Linked DNA regions of Stegostoma tigrinum. The protein of the gene in region 2 interacts with the protein of the main gene of each other region in a pairwise test. Links are inferred from orthologs where the notes say so. Each region holds a gene or a part of one and is shown on either strand. Other genes may lie near its edges.

Region 1 (7,546 bases), on a different chromosome or scaffold from region 2:
GGGGGGGGATTGAGAGGGGTGGGTGGGTGGGTGGGGGGGGGATTGAGAGGGGTGGGTGGGTGGGTGGGGGGGGATTGAGAGGGGTGGGTGGGTGGGGATTGAGAGGGGTGGGTGGGGATTGAGAGGGGTGGGTGGGTGGGTGGGTGGGGGGGGATTGAGAGGGGTGGGTGGGTGGGTGGGGGGGGATTGAGAGGGGTGGGTGGGTGGGGGGGGATTGAGAGGGGTGGGTGGGTGGGTGGGGGGGGATTGAGAGGGGTGGGTGGGTGGGTGGGTGGGGATTGAGAGGGGTGGGTGGGTGGGGGGGGATTGAGAGGGGTGGGTGGGTGGGGATTGAGAGGGGTGGGTGGGTGGGGATTGAGAGGGGTGGGTGGGGGAATTGAGAGGGGTGGGTGGGTGGGTGGGGGAATTGAGAGGGGTGGGTGGGTGGGTGGGGGAATTGAGAGGGGTGGGTGGGTGGGTGGGGGAATTGAGAGGGGTGGGTGGGTGGGGGGGGGATTGAGAGGGGTGGGTGGGTGGGGGGGGGGGATTGAGAGGGGTGGGTGGGTGGGGGGGGGGGATTGAGAGGGGTGGGTGGGGGGGGGGATTGAGAGGGGTGGGTGGGTGGGGGGGGGGATTGAGAGGGGTGGGTGGGTGGGGGGGGATTGAGAGGGAGGGTGGGTGGGTGGTTGGGGGGGGATTGAGAGGGAGGGTGGGGGGGGATTGAGAGGGAGGGTGGGGGGGATTGAGAGGGAGGGTGGGGGGATTGAGAGGGAGGGTGGGGGGGGGGGATTGAGAGGGTGGGTGGGGGGGGGGATTGAGAGGGTGGGTGGGGGGGGGATTGAGAGGGTGGGTGGGGGGGGGATTGAGGGGGAGGGTGGGTGGGTAGGTGGGGGGGGATTGTGAGGGAGGGTGTGGGGGGATTGTGAGGGAGGGTGGGTGGGTAGGTGGGGGGGATTGTGAGGAGGGAGGGTGAGGGAGGGAGGGTGAGGGAGGGAGGGTGAGGGAGGGAGGGAGGTGAGGGAGGGAGGGTGAGGGAGGGAGGGAGGGTGAGGAGGGAGGTGAGGGAGGGAGGGAGGGAGGGTGGGGAGGGTGTGGGGGTGAGGGAGGGAGGGTGAGGGGGTGAGGGAGGGAGGGTGAGGGGAGGGAGGGTGAGAGGGAGGGTGAGGGAGGTGAGGGGAGGGTGGGTGGGAGGGTGAGGGAGGGGAGGGTGGGAGGGAGGGTGAGGGAGGGAGGGTGGGAGGGAGGGTGTGGGAGGGAGGGTGGAGGGAGGGTGAGGGAGGGAGGGTGAGGGAGGGAGGGTGAGGGAGGGAGGGTGAGGGAGGGAGGGTGGGAGGGGATCGGGAGGGTTAGTTGGGGGGGATTGAGAGGTTTAGTTGGGAGTGGTCGTGTGGGGGATCGTGTGGGGGGGATCGAGGGGGGGGGGATCGAGGGGGGGGGGGGATCGAGGGGGGGGATCTGGGGGGGGGGAGATCGGGGGGGGGAGATCGGGGGGGGGGAGATCGGGGGGGGGGAGATCGGGGGGGGAGATCGGGGGGGGAGATCGGGGGGGGGGAGATCGGGGGGGGGGAGATCGGGGGGGGGAGATCGGGGGGGGGGGGATCGGGGGGGGGGATCGGGGGGGGGGGGATCGGGGGGGGGGGGATCGGGGGGGGGGGGTCGAGTGGGGGGGGTCGAGTGGGGGGGGGGTCGAGTGGGGGGGGGGTCGAGTGGGGGGGGGGGTCGAGTGGGGGGGGGGGTCGAGTGGGGGGGGGGTCGAGTGGGGGGATCGAGTGGGGGGGATCGAGTGGGGGGGATCGAGTGGGAGGGGGATCGAGGGGGATCGAGTGGGGGGATCGAGTGGGGGGATCGAGTGGGGGGGATCGAGTGGGGGGATCGAGTGGGGGGGGATCGAGTGGGGGGGGATCGAGTGGGGGGGGATCGAGTGGGGGGGGATCGAGTGGGGGGTGTTTGTTGGGGTGGGGGGCATCGTGAGGGTTGGTGGGGTGGGGGGCATCGTGAGGTTGGTGGGGTGGGGGGCATCATGAGGGTTGGTGGGGTGGGGGGGCATCGTGAGGTTGGTGGGGTGGGGGGGATCTTGAGGGTTGGTGGGGTGGGGGGTTCTTGAGGGTGGGTGGGTTGGGGGGGTGTGAGGGGGTTGGTTGGGGGGGTGTGAGGGGGTTAGTTGGGGGGGTCGAGGGGGTTAGTTGGGGGGGGTCGGGGGGTTAGTTGGGGGGGGTCGGGGGGTTAGTTGGGGGGGTCGGGGGGTTAGTTGGGGGGGGTCGAGGGGGTTAGTGGGGGGGGTTGTGAGGGTTAGTGGGGGGGGTGTTGTGAGGGTTAGTGGGGGGGGGTTGTGAGGGTTAGTGGGGGGGGTTGTGAGGGTTAGTGGGGGGGGGTTGTGAGGGTTAGTGGGGGGGGGGTTGTGAGGGTTAGTGGGGGGGGGGGGGTTGTGAGGGTTAGTGGGGGGGGGCGTTGTTGCTGAGGCACTCACTGTTCCGGCGGCGGTTCCTCGGTCATTGTGGTTCCCCCGGAGCGGACATTGCTGCAAACTTCCTGGGGCTCTGGCGCCTGTTCGGGTTGTACTGGGAGCTGGAACCTGGGAACCCGGGGGGACACGGTGGGAATCGGGCCCTCCTCGCCTCGGGGCTGCCTAAGGGACACAGTCACATTCTCGGAGCTGGAGGCCGGCTCTTGCTGCACTCTCTGACCGGGCCTGAGCCGCTCCGAGCGGCCGCTCTCTGCACATGAAGCTGCCGCTGGGGCCGCAATCCCCGGGTCTCTCTCTCCCTCCCCCTCTCTCACACACACTCTCTCCCTCCGGCCGCGAAACTGTGCAGCAACAGGGACGGCGGCAGAGCAGAGTGAAGCCCCAGGCCAGAATCCAGAGGCTTGGGGAGGGACAAGTCGGGGGAGAAAGAGCAGCTTGAAATGCTCCCTATGTTTTCACAAACTCAGTTCACTCCATTTTGGATTCAGCGAAAAGGAAACAGGGCGGAAGCAATGACATCAGCCTGAGTCCAAGCAGCGAAAGCTCCCTCTCCCTCTCTCTGCGTGCGCTGCAACCAAAGAGTGCCCTAGCCCCATCCACTTCCCATCCCCATTCACAAAAACACACAGTCTCACACACACACAACAGCCCTAAGCCCGCAACATTGTTACATTGCCATTCAACTGTGCTGGCTACACTTTGCAAACTTGTTTCCTTTTGCGGTTACAACTTGCAAATCCGATTTTCACTCCGCTCCTGCTGTTGATTCTCGTAACTACGTATATATCTGTGCGTGTGTGTTTGTGTATTTAAAATTTGAAGGACTTCCAGAAAGGATTGGAACTGGCGCATTGATACTGAACTAAATCGGATGTGATTGCTATCAGGTAGGAGTAGTTTCACCAACAGGCAAATCCATCTGCAACGGATAGAAGCTGTGCACATTCCGAAGGCTATGTCTTTGTGTGTGTGTGTGTGTGTGTGTGTGTGTGGAGGGGTTCATTGGCAGTTTGCCCTCCAGATTGCATTGCCCCTTAAAGTCACGACATGCAAAGTCTTCTTGGCAAAAGAAGAAACAGCATATGGTTCTGCGGAGATGGTGGTACATTTTTTTGCATGTATTTGGGAAATCACATGATTCCTGTCGGAGATTTTACAGTAAAAGTTCGAGACGAGTCCATAAATTACGCCCCCTCCCCCAATTTCATATCTCTATTTTGTTATCCTTGTCCATTAAAAAATACCATTTTGCTCTCGTTTCGTCACCCCCACCCCGAACCTTTTCCTAGCTGGGGTTTAAAAAGTAACACACCGATTTCTAAGTTGCTCAATCAATCACACGTCGAAGGCAGAGAATGAAGTCTGGCGCCTCCTCCTGGGAGATATTTGACTAACGGGATCGTCTGGAAAAATAAACAACTGCTGTGGAGCAATCAGAAACAAGAGGAGGGGGTGGGCTCTGGTCTTTGGGGAAGGGCATTGAGAATTGGCAACAACAGAGCTTTTGAGTACAAGGGATTCAAAAAAGGTAACACCATTAATTACAACTCAGAGATAGATAACTTTTTGTTCCACAAAAATATTAAGAGATACGGGCCAATGTGAGGTAAATGGCTTTAAGCCACAGATCGGCCATGATCTCATTGAATGGTGCAACAGGCTTAAGGGGCCGAATGGCTCACTCCTGTTTCTGTGTTCCAATGTGGGAAGAGCTTCCTCTGCAGTAGTATGAGGGGTGGAATCACTGACTAAAAGGTGGAGATTTATGGGCTGTTGCAGTTTGCTGGTTATTTGTAACCAGGTTTTATACAGATGTTTAACTCCACCAAAGCGTGAATTGCAGACAGTATGTGCTAAGTTCTGTTTTTTGTTGCTCCAATTGTGCATTTTGAAACTCCGATTCTTTTTGTGAGGTGCCTGTGGAATTCCTTGTGGGAAACTGTGCTTATTTCATGCGCCCATTGCTGAATTTGGTGGGGGGTGGGTGGTTACAGGGTCATTCAGGCCAGAGGAGAATATTACTTGTTGGGAGTAAGTATGATGGCTGTTGTCAAACAAACTTGAATTGTTAGCAGGAAATGTTACTAAGCAGGTTGGGCAGCATCTGCAGAGAACTGAACAGGTTTAGTGACCTGTTTCCTGACCCTTCAATATGATCTGGGAGATGTTGGAGAGCCTTTTCATAAGTGTAGTGCGGCTCTGTTACAGTGCAGAAGGAGGTTATTTGACCCATTGTGGCTATACTAGCCCTTCAAGTGAGCAATTCTCTTAGTATCATTCTCCTCATTATCCTGCATGTTCCTGCTTTTCAAGTAACCATCTAACTCCTCCTTGAACAACTTAATAGGCACTGCTTTCACCACATCATCAGGTGGTGCATTCCATAACCTAGCTGCATACTGAATGAAAAAGCTCTTTCTCAGCTCAGTTTTTATTTCTTTTGCAATTGTCTGTTTGTGCCCTCTTGTCTTAATTCTTTCATGAGTGGGAGCATTCCTCCCTCTCTACGTTGTCCAGATCCCTTGTGACTTTGATCATTTCTGTCAGATAGTGCCTGAAAGTGACCTGAAATGTTAACATGCATTCTTGTAGCAGCCAGAACTGCTGAGCTTTTCCAGCAACTTCTGTTTTTGTCACACCCATCGTTGGTAAACAAAAGTTGCTGGAAAAACTCAGCAGGCCTAGCAGCATCTGGGGAGAAAAAAAAATCAGAGTTAACATTTCGACTCTGGTGACCCTTTTTCACAGATGCTGCCAGACCTGCTGAGCTTATTTTTGTGGCAACTTCCGTCTTTGTTCCGGATTTACAGCATCAGTAGTTCTTTCAGATTTTATAGAAGTGGTGTGGATGGATCCTGTCAATTACAGCGGAATGGGAGCAAGACAAGCAAGCCTGGCGAAGTAAACATTGCATGGTGGAACAAGCTGAAAGGGCCAGATGGCAAACTTCACCTAGCGTTTGTGTTTATAAATGGGACATTCCAAATTGGGAAATACCTCAAGTTTGCAGTCAACAAATGAACCGGATTATGGAAAACAAATGTTTTGCATCTGCAACAATAGGAAGTCTGGACCAATGAGCAAGGAAACACATTAGACAGATACATGTGTTTGCATTAAATGTTACAACAGCCATGTGCACACAATCAACTGTAACAGACTGTCAGGGCTCCAAACTTGGGAATATTATACTAAACAGCAGGTCAGGACATCTGAACAGCTTTGCCTGTAGTAACTACCCTGATTCAGATAAGCGCAGTTAAATGAATGTTTGAACCCCACTGTAGAAGATTTCAAAAGGTTGACACTGGCCTCCAAAGCTGCGAGAAATGGCTTATGGATGAGCTGTAGCGTCTGTTACAGGATGTTGAGTAGCAGCTGGAGTCAATCTTCAGTTCCTGGTGTCTGGAGCACTCATCATTGCTGCACTGTTCTCTTTGTGAGGCAGCCTGTCGACATCTTGCTGCTGCTTCAGGGTGAGAGTCACCCAACAACCTGCAAACACTGTTCTGCTGCTTTCCACCGCACTGGATCTGGGAACATGAATGAAATGGCGTTTCCTTTATAACTGGCAAGCAGGACTGCCATACTCTGAAGGATTTACACTTTGTGCACACTTTTCTCAGTAAAACTGATAAGTAAAAATGAGTTTTCTTCATTAGCATTTCCAGATTTTAGCCAACAACATCACCAGATTGGTTCAGAGACAGTAGGAACTGCCAACGCTGCAGAATCTGAGATAACAAGGTGTGGAGCTGGATGAACACAGCAGGCCAAGCAGCACCAGAGGAGCAGGAAGGCTGACGTTTCAGGTCTAGAACCTTCTTTTTTTTTCAGAAGGAAGGTGTAGACCGGAACTGTCAGCTTTCCCGCTCCTCTGATGCTGCTTGACCTGCTGTGTTCATCCAGCTCCACACCAAATTGATTTGATGTGGTTTAAGCATGATTATTAAGCCTGAAAATTGTAACTAGAGAGAGCTGGCTACACCTCGTCTCATTAATGCTAATTATATCCAATGGAAATATTTATTCATCGGTTTATTTGACATCACATCTGCCCATGCCCATCCATTCAGGACGTGTGTGTTTGTAGTGATTGGCCCACTACTGTCATACCAATGTATAAGTGGCATAATCTGTTTAATATCATTGGACCCATTCATAAGGAGCTGTGTGAAATTAAACATTATCCCCTGAAGAATCTCTGGGCAGCTATCAACTTCAATTGTGACTTTAATCACGACACCTTTGGTGACTGTATCTTGATCTGTCGCGGTCCTAACTCTGAAATTCTGTCCCTGAGTACCTCCACATTGCTACCCTCTATAAGACAAACCTCAAGGATATTCTTTGTGCCCTATACCCAACCATCTTCAGCTGCTTCATCAATGACCTCCCCTCCATCCTAAGGTCAGAAGTGGGGATATTTGCTGATGATTGCATCGTGTTTAGCGCCATTCACAACAACTCAGATACCGAAGCAGTCCCTATTCAAATGCAACAGATCCAGACAATATCCAGGCTTGGGATGAGAAGTGGCAAGTAACATTCGTGCCACACAAAAGTCAGGCAATAACCATCTCCAATAAGAGACAATCTAACCACTGTCCCATTATGTTCAATGGCATTACCATCACTCACTGCCCACACAATCAACATCCTAGAGGTTACCATCCACCAGAATTGGACTCACCATATAAATACAGTGGCTACAAGAACAGGTTAGAGGTTAGGAATGCCGTGGCAAGTAACCTACCATCTGACTCCTCAAAGCCTGTCCACCATTGACAAGGCACAAGTCAGGAGTGTGATGGAACACTCCCCACTTGCCTGGATGGGTGCAGCTCCAACAACACTCAAGAAGCTCAAACCATCCAGGGCAAAGCAACTTCTTGATTGGCACCACATCCACAAGCATCCACTCCCTCCACCACCGACACTCAGTAGCAGCCATGTGTACTGTCTACAAGATGCACTGCAGAAAATTACACTGCATCAAGGATCCGTAGACAGCGCCTTCCAAACCCACGTAGAAGGACAAGGGCAGCAGATTCATAGGAACACCACCCCCTCCAAGTTCCCCTCCAAGCCACTCACCATCCT
Region 2 (6,893 bases):
TGTCCCCCCCACCAAACCCATGTCCAGGAACTCCCCACCTACATTCATGATACCACCTATGCCCTCCACCTCACCTGAGACTTCCAATTCCCTGGACCCCAAAATGTCATCTTCACTATGGACATCCAATTTCTGACACTTTTAGGCGCCATGCAGATGGCCGAAATGCCCTTCACTTCTTCTTCTCTCACAGACCGAGCCAGTCTCCCACTACCAACACCCTCATCCACTTAACAGAACTTTTCCTTACCCTGAACAACAACTCCTTTAATTCCTCCCACTTCCTAGAAACTAAGGGGGTGGCTATGGGCACCCATATGGGTCCGAGCTACATCTGTCTCTTCGTAGGAAACGTGGAACAGTCCCTTTTCCGCTATTACACAGGCACCATCCCACACTCTTCCTCTGTTACACTGATGACTGTATCAGTGCTAACATGCTCCCACGAGGAGCTAGGACAGTTCATCAACTTTACTAATACCTTTCATCCCAGCCTCAAATTCACCTGGACCATGTCCGATACTTCCCTCCCCTTCCTGGACTTCTCCATCTCCATCTCTGATAACCACCTCAACACCGACATTTATTTCAAACCCACCGACTCCTATGGCTACTGGACTACACCTCCACTCACTCACCTTCCTACAAGAATGCAATCCCATACTCCCAATTCCTCCACCTTCGCCACATCTGCTCCCAAGATGGAGCGTTCCACTCCCATACATCCCAGATGTCCTCCTATTTTAAGGACTGCAATTTGCCCAATCTAATGATCAAAATGCCCTCAACCACATAGCTTGTATTGGCCTCTAACCACCACCCCCCAACAAAAATAAAGACACAGACTCCTGGTCCTCACATATCACCCCACTAACCTTTGTATCCAACACATCAACCTCCACCACAACCCCATCTGCAATTTGACCCCACAACCAAAGAGATATTTCCCTCTCCGTCTTTCATACAGACAACTCATTCTGCAAATCCCTTGTCTGCTCCACGCTCCCCACTAACCCCACCACACCCGGCACCTTTCCCTGCAACTGCAGGAAGTGCTACACCTGCCCCTACACTTCTCCCCTCACTTCCAGGCCCAAAGCAAATTTCCCATATCTGCTAGGGTTTCACCTGTACATCCTACAACCTGGCCTACAATATCCAGTGCTCCCAACGTGGTCTCCTCTACGTCAGTGAGACCAAGCGCAGACTTGACCATTTCGTGGGCCACCTGCGCTCCGTACGTGATAATCGACAACACCTTCCAGTCGCTAAGCATTTCAACTCCCCATCATATGCCTGGGATGACATGTCCATCCTGGGCTTCCTCCAGTGTCATAATGAGGCCACACACAAATTGGAGGAGCAACAACTCATAATACACCTCAGAAGCCTACAGCCCAATGGCCTAAACATTGAATTCACCAGTTTTAAAATCTCCCCATCCCATGTCCAAACCTCCTTCTCATACACGCCTCGATGACCTGACATAACCTGTCAATCTTCTGCCCCACCCTTCCCACTGGCCAATCCCTATTTCCCCACATCTGCAGCCACCACCCCTGCCTCAGGCCCACACATCCTCCCTCTCACCTCCTTGACCTGACACAACCTGTCCTTCTTCTCTCCCACCTATCTGCCCCACCCTTCCCACTGACCAATCTCCACCATCCCCTACATGCATCCACCTATCACCATGCCACCTACCTTCAATCAGCCACACCCCTCCTTGTTCTATTTATTTCCCGGCTCCCTTTCCCCTCCCCAATTCTGAAGAAGGGCCCTTTCCTATTCCTCTGAAGCTGCCTGACCTGCTGTATTTCTTCAGCTTCACACCATGTTGACTCTGGCTCCAGCATCTGCAGTTCTTGCTATCTCCAACTGACACCTGCCCATGCTTCCTGATCAGCACAAAGGTCTGGCTAATTCATTTACTGATTTTTAATCTAGACCCTACCTGTAATTGTGATATTCAACAAGAAAGTTACTGAAAGAGTATGCATTCTGAGCATCATAATAGTGAGTGACAACTCAGTTTAGCGGTAAGTTTTTCTTGCAAGTTGGAACAATAGGGACTCAGACCCTGATTCTGCACATAATCTAGGTTGTCACATTATCATAACTGAGGGAGTGCTGAATTATTGGGAGATGCCATTGGCCAGATGAAATGTTAACTTGAGGCTGATCTACTTGCTCAATTGGGCATTCAGCATAGGAGACCTTTCAAACCAACCAATCCATGCTGACCATAAATCCTCATCTAAACTAGTCCCGCTTGCCTACACTAGGCCTGTATCCCTACGTACGTTTCTTTCATTTATTTAAATGTTGTAACTGTACTCGCATCCACCACTTTCTCTGGAAGTTTATTCTATATATAAGACACTCTGCAAAAATATTGCCTCTTGTTTTCTTTTTAAATCTTTCTCTTCTAACCTTAAAGTGCCTTCTAGTCTTGAAATCCCGCACCCTAGAGAAAAGGCAACCGCCGTTCACCTTTATCCACAAGATTTTATATACCTCTATAAGGTCATCCCTCATGAAATAGCACACAACCCGATTTAGCAAAGGTTAGAAGAATTTGCTCAAGTCTCGGAACCAAAACTTAATCATTCATTAAAGATAGATGATCCAGTCACTCATCTCAAATGTTGTTCCCTGGTTGTAATTTCCAATAATCTGGCTGTACTAGTACAGAAGGCAAATTTTACAAAGCGCTTTAACGTGGCCTCATGGTACATCCAGCTAGTTTCGAAACGAAGGGAAACCGTAGGACCAATGCCAAAGCTGTGCCTCAATGGATCTGCCGTGGAAAAACTGAGCTCGTAGGAACAAGCCCACACATTCGTACAGATTACTGCTGATCGAGGCTCACTTACCCCGCGACAGGATCTTGGCGATGGATTGAGCCAGAGAAGGTTTCTCGGCGACCATCAACACCGTCTTCATGATGCCGACCTCGCTCAATACAACCACCTCCTTCAGGCCGTCGCCATGACACCCACGCACGACCCCTTCCTGTGCTCTCGACTAGACTTCCGGTTCCGGCCGATTCCCATGGTAACCGCGAGGCCCTTTGCTCAGTGCAGATCAGCGCTGGAAGCTGTGATCATACCGCATGAGACAGGGCACCTTCCAAACAACAAAAATGTAATTTCTCCTCTACAAACTTAATTTGATAATAGGTAAAAATTGACGTCCCAACACACCTTATTTCAGAAACAGAGCACTACGGATGCTGTTCTGTGGAAGGGTCACTTTTTTATTTTAAAGCCGTGTACTGCAATTTTTGTTTTAAATTTAGAGCCATGTTGTACAAATAATGGATCTGAACTAGAGCATCTTGCCCAAGCATCTGCTTTGGTTGTTCTGACATCGCAGCAGCCCTATTCTGCCCACATATGAATTTGGTTAACAATGTGAACATGAGCAGATAATCTGTTATTTGTGGTCTTGATAGAGGAAGGGTTACATATTGGCTCTAGCTCATCAGTGCAAATTTCCTTCTTCTATGAGCCAGACCGAATCTCCTTAATATATATCGAGGAGACAGCTTAGATTCTACCTTTTTCTCTTTATAGAGGTAAGTATAAGGAGCTGCATTGCATATCTGATTCAATTGGTCAAACTACTATGCTTTAAGCAAAACACACTTGATTCTGGCACCACAGTTTAGAAACAGAAACAAAAACAAAAAAAATGGCATAACCATAACTCTATCTAGATACATAGCAAAATTATATATTATTTAACAGCTACTCCTACTGTTCCAATGTAACAGCATCCCATAAACACACCCTTGGCACAGGTCAATTCAGCAAAACAGATTTCCATCACTTATGATCTTATCCAGTCCAGGAGAAGGAACACTGACTGAACATCTTTAACTACAGAGTGAGAACTGTATCTAGCATCTTAGTCCAAACCCCAGCTTCAACAACTGAAAGTATAAACTAAAGCCCTGTATCTGTGTAAGCCTTGTTCAAACCCTCCTGCTTTTTTTGTTTAGTTTTTTGTTTAAAAAATCCAAAGCTATTTAATCTTCTTTCCATGGAGCAGACCCCATGGTACCGTGTTTACAACATCTCTCTTCCTGAGGAACAGGACAGAACAAATCTGTCTTAGGCATATCTTGTCACATTTCTTTTTCAAAATAGTGTGTGGGATCTTTCATATCCAATTGAACAAGCATATCGGAAACCAAATTAACTTCTCATCCAGGAGCTAGCACCTTCAACAGTGCAGCACTTCCTCCATATTGCACCACAGCACCATCTTTGTGCTCAAGGCTTAAACCTTGGAGTGGGACTGAAATTTAGAGGCCAAGAGAGTTTAACTGAGCCACTGCTGAAGTTTAATGCCTTGGCTGAAAAATGGCCTAATGTTCTTCATTGCAATAGGGAAGTATCAACCTGTTATATGTTTGAATCTCGAGCGTGTGACTTGTAACACAGAATTCCATAACTCAAAGGCAAGTGTGCTACATGCTAAGCCAGAGCAAATGTACAAGTTGTCATTGGCTTCTGTCTTATATTGCTGCGACCATATCAACTTACTGAATACTGAGGTGGGGAAGAAAACAGTACTCCTCATAATACCAGAATTTTTCAACAATCGGCACACATGAGACTGACACCATGTCGCCATTTTTCAAAATTTTTCTGTCTGAGATTAAGGCTACAGTTCTTTGCTGCTTGATCTGATAACACTTTCAAATGTTCATATACCATATCATTTAAGGTCAGCTTCAGTATTTTTAATCATCATTTGAACTGTAATCAGGATGGATCCTCAGTTATGCCACCTCAGTGAAAACCAAGATGTCAAGTGTCTCTGTTAGTAATAGTGAGATGCCATCTTTTGGATAAGACCTCAAACTGAGACCCCTTGAATGAAAGCACACAGTTGTATGACCAACACTTCAAAGAAGAGCAGTAAGTCCTTCCCAGTGTCTTGACACTACACTTCAAGAAGGATGTGAAGTAGCTAGAGAATTTAGGAACAAGAGTAGGCTATTCAAGCGTACTTCCATCCCCTATTCCCAATTCCTCCGCCTCCGCCGCATCTGCTCCCACGATAAGACATTCCACTCCTGCACATCCCAGATGTCCAAGTTCTTTAAGGACCGCAACTTTCCCCCCACAGTGATCGAGAACGCCCTTGACCGCGTCTCCCGTATTTCCCACAACACATCCCTCACACCCCGCCCCCGCCACAACCGCCCTAAGAGGATCCTCCTCGTTCTCACACACCACCCTACCAACCTCCGGATACAACGCATCATCCTCCGACACTTCCACCATTTACAATCCGACCCCACCACCCAAGACATTTTTCCATCCCCTCCCCTGTCTGCTTTCCGGAGAGACCACACTCTCCGTGACTCCCTTGTTCGCTCCACACTGCCCTCCAACCCCACCACAGCCGGCACCTTCCCCTGCAACCGCAGGAAATGCTACACTTGTCCCCACACCTCCTCCCTCACCCCTATCCCAGGCCCCAAGATGACATTCCACATTGGCAGATGTGCAGGTGAACCTCTGCTTAATGTGGTATACTGCATCCACTGTACCCGGTGCGGCTTCCTCTACATTGGGGAAACCAAACGGAGGCTTGGGGACTGCTTTGCAGAACACCTCCGCTCAGTTCGCAACAAACAACTGCATCTCCCAGTCGCAAACCATTTCCACTCCCCCTCCCATTCTCTAGATGACATGTCCATCATGGGCCTCCTGCACTGCCACAATGATGCCACCCGAAGGTTGCAGGAACAGCAACTCATATTCCGCCTGGGAACCCTGCAGCCATATGGTATCAATGTGGACTTCACCAGTTTCAAAATCTCCCCTTCCCCTACTGCATCCCTAAACCAGCCCAGTTCGTCCCCTCCCCCCACTGCACCACACAACCAGCCCAGCTCTTCCCCCCCCCCCCCCCCCAAACCCACTGCATCCCAAAACCAGTCCAACCTGTCTCTGCCTCCCTAACCAGTTCTTCCTCTCACCCATCCCTTCCTCCCACCCCAAGCCGCATCCCCAGCTACCTACTAACCTCATCCCACCTCCTTGACCTGTCCGTCTTCCGTGGACTGACCTATCCCCTCCGTACCTCCCCACCTATACTCTCTCCACCTATCTTCTTTACTCTCCATCTTCGGTCCGCCTCCCCCTCTCTCCCTATTTATTCCAGTTCCCTCTCCCCATCCCCCTTTCTGATGAAGGGTCTAGGCCCGAAACGTCAGCTTTTGTGCTCCTGAGATGCTGCTTGGCCTGCTGTGTTCATCCAGCCTCACATTTTATTATCTTGGAATTCTCCAGCATCTGCAGTTCCCATTACCTCAGTATGATGGTTGATCTGTTTGTGGTCTCAACTTCACTTTCCTGTTTGCAAGAAAAGAATTACAAGAATGGTTGTAAAAGCCAGTTGTGTATTCACCGTTTCTCCACATGAGCATCATGATTTGGTGCCATTTCCTGCCTTCTCCACATACTCAAGCACATTGTTTCTGTTTAAATAATCATCCAGTGCTGCCTTAAAAGCCTCAATTGAACCTGCCTCCAGCGCATTCCACACCTAAACCATGCATTAGCAATTTTATTTCACCTTGTCTTTTGTTTCCTTCGGAAATCACTTTAAATCTGAGCCCTCTTATTCTTGATCCTTGAATAAGTAGGAACAGCTTATTTACACAATCCAGTCCACTTGTGATTTTTGAAAACTTCTGTCAGATGTGTTTTTAGCTTTCTTTCTCTAAGCAGAAAAGTTCCATTCTCTCCAATCTATCATAACTGAAATTTTCCATCTCTGGAATCATTCCTGTAAATCTCTTCTGCAGTCTCCCCAATTTGTTCATATCCTTACCATAGTCTGGTACCCAGAACTGTATGCAAAACTGA

What was found.
Region 1: the proteins of top3b (region 2) and sprouty-related, EVH1 domain-containing protein 2 interact in binary tests that used the Homo sapiens proteins (3 or more experiments, as listed by UniProt). The link is inferred for Stegostoma tigrinum from reciprocal best matches to the Homo sapiens genes TOP3B and SPRED2.

What each region holds. Positions count from the first base shown.
Region 1 is NC_081362.1:2,574,438-2,581,983, forward strand, and holds the start of sprouty-related, EVH1 domain-containing protein 2, read right to left. Parts: upstream 3,016-7,546; 5' UTR 2,473-3,015; coding exon 2,447-2,472; intron 1-2,446. UniProt on the Homo sapiens protein: Negatively regulates Ras signaling pathways and downstream activation of MAP kinases. Recruits and translocates NF1 to the cell membrane, thereby enabling NF1-dependent hydrolysis of active GTP-bound Ras to inactive GDP-bound Ras.
Region 2 is NC_081379.1:44,586,739-44,593,631, forward strand, and holds the start of top3b (DNA topoisomerase 3-beta-1), read right to left. Parts: upstream 3,015-6,893; 5' UTR 2,947-3,014; coding exon 2,877-2,946; intron 1-2,876. UniProt on the Homo sapiens protein: Releases the supercoiling and torsional tension of DNA introduced during the DNA replication and transcription by transiently cleaving and rejoining one strand of the DNA duplex.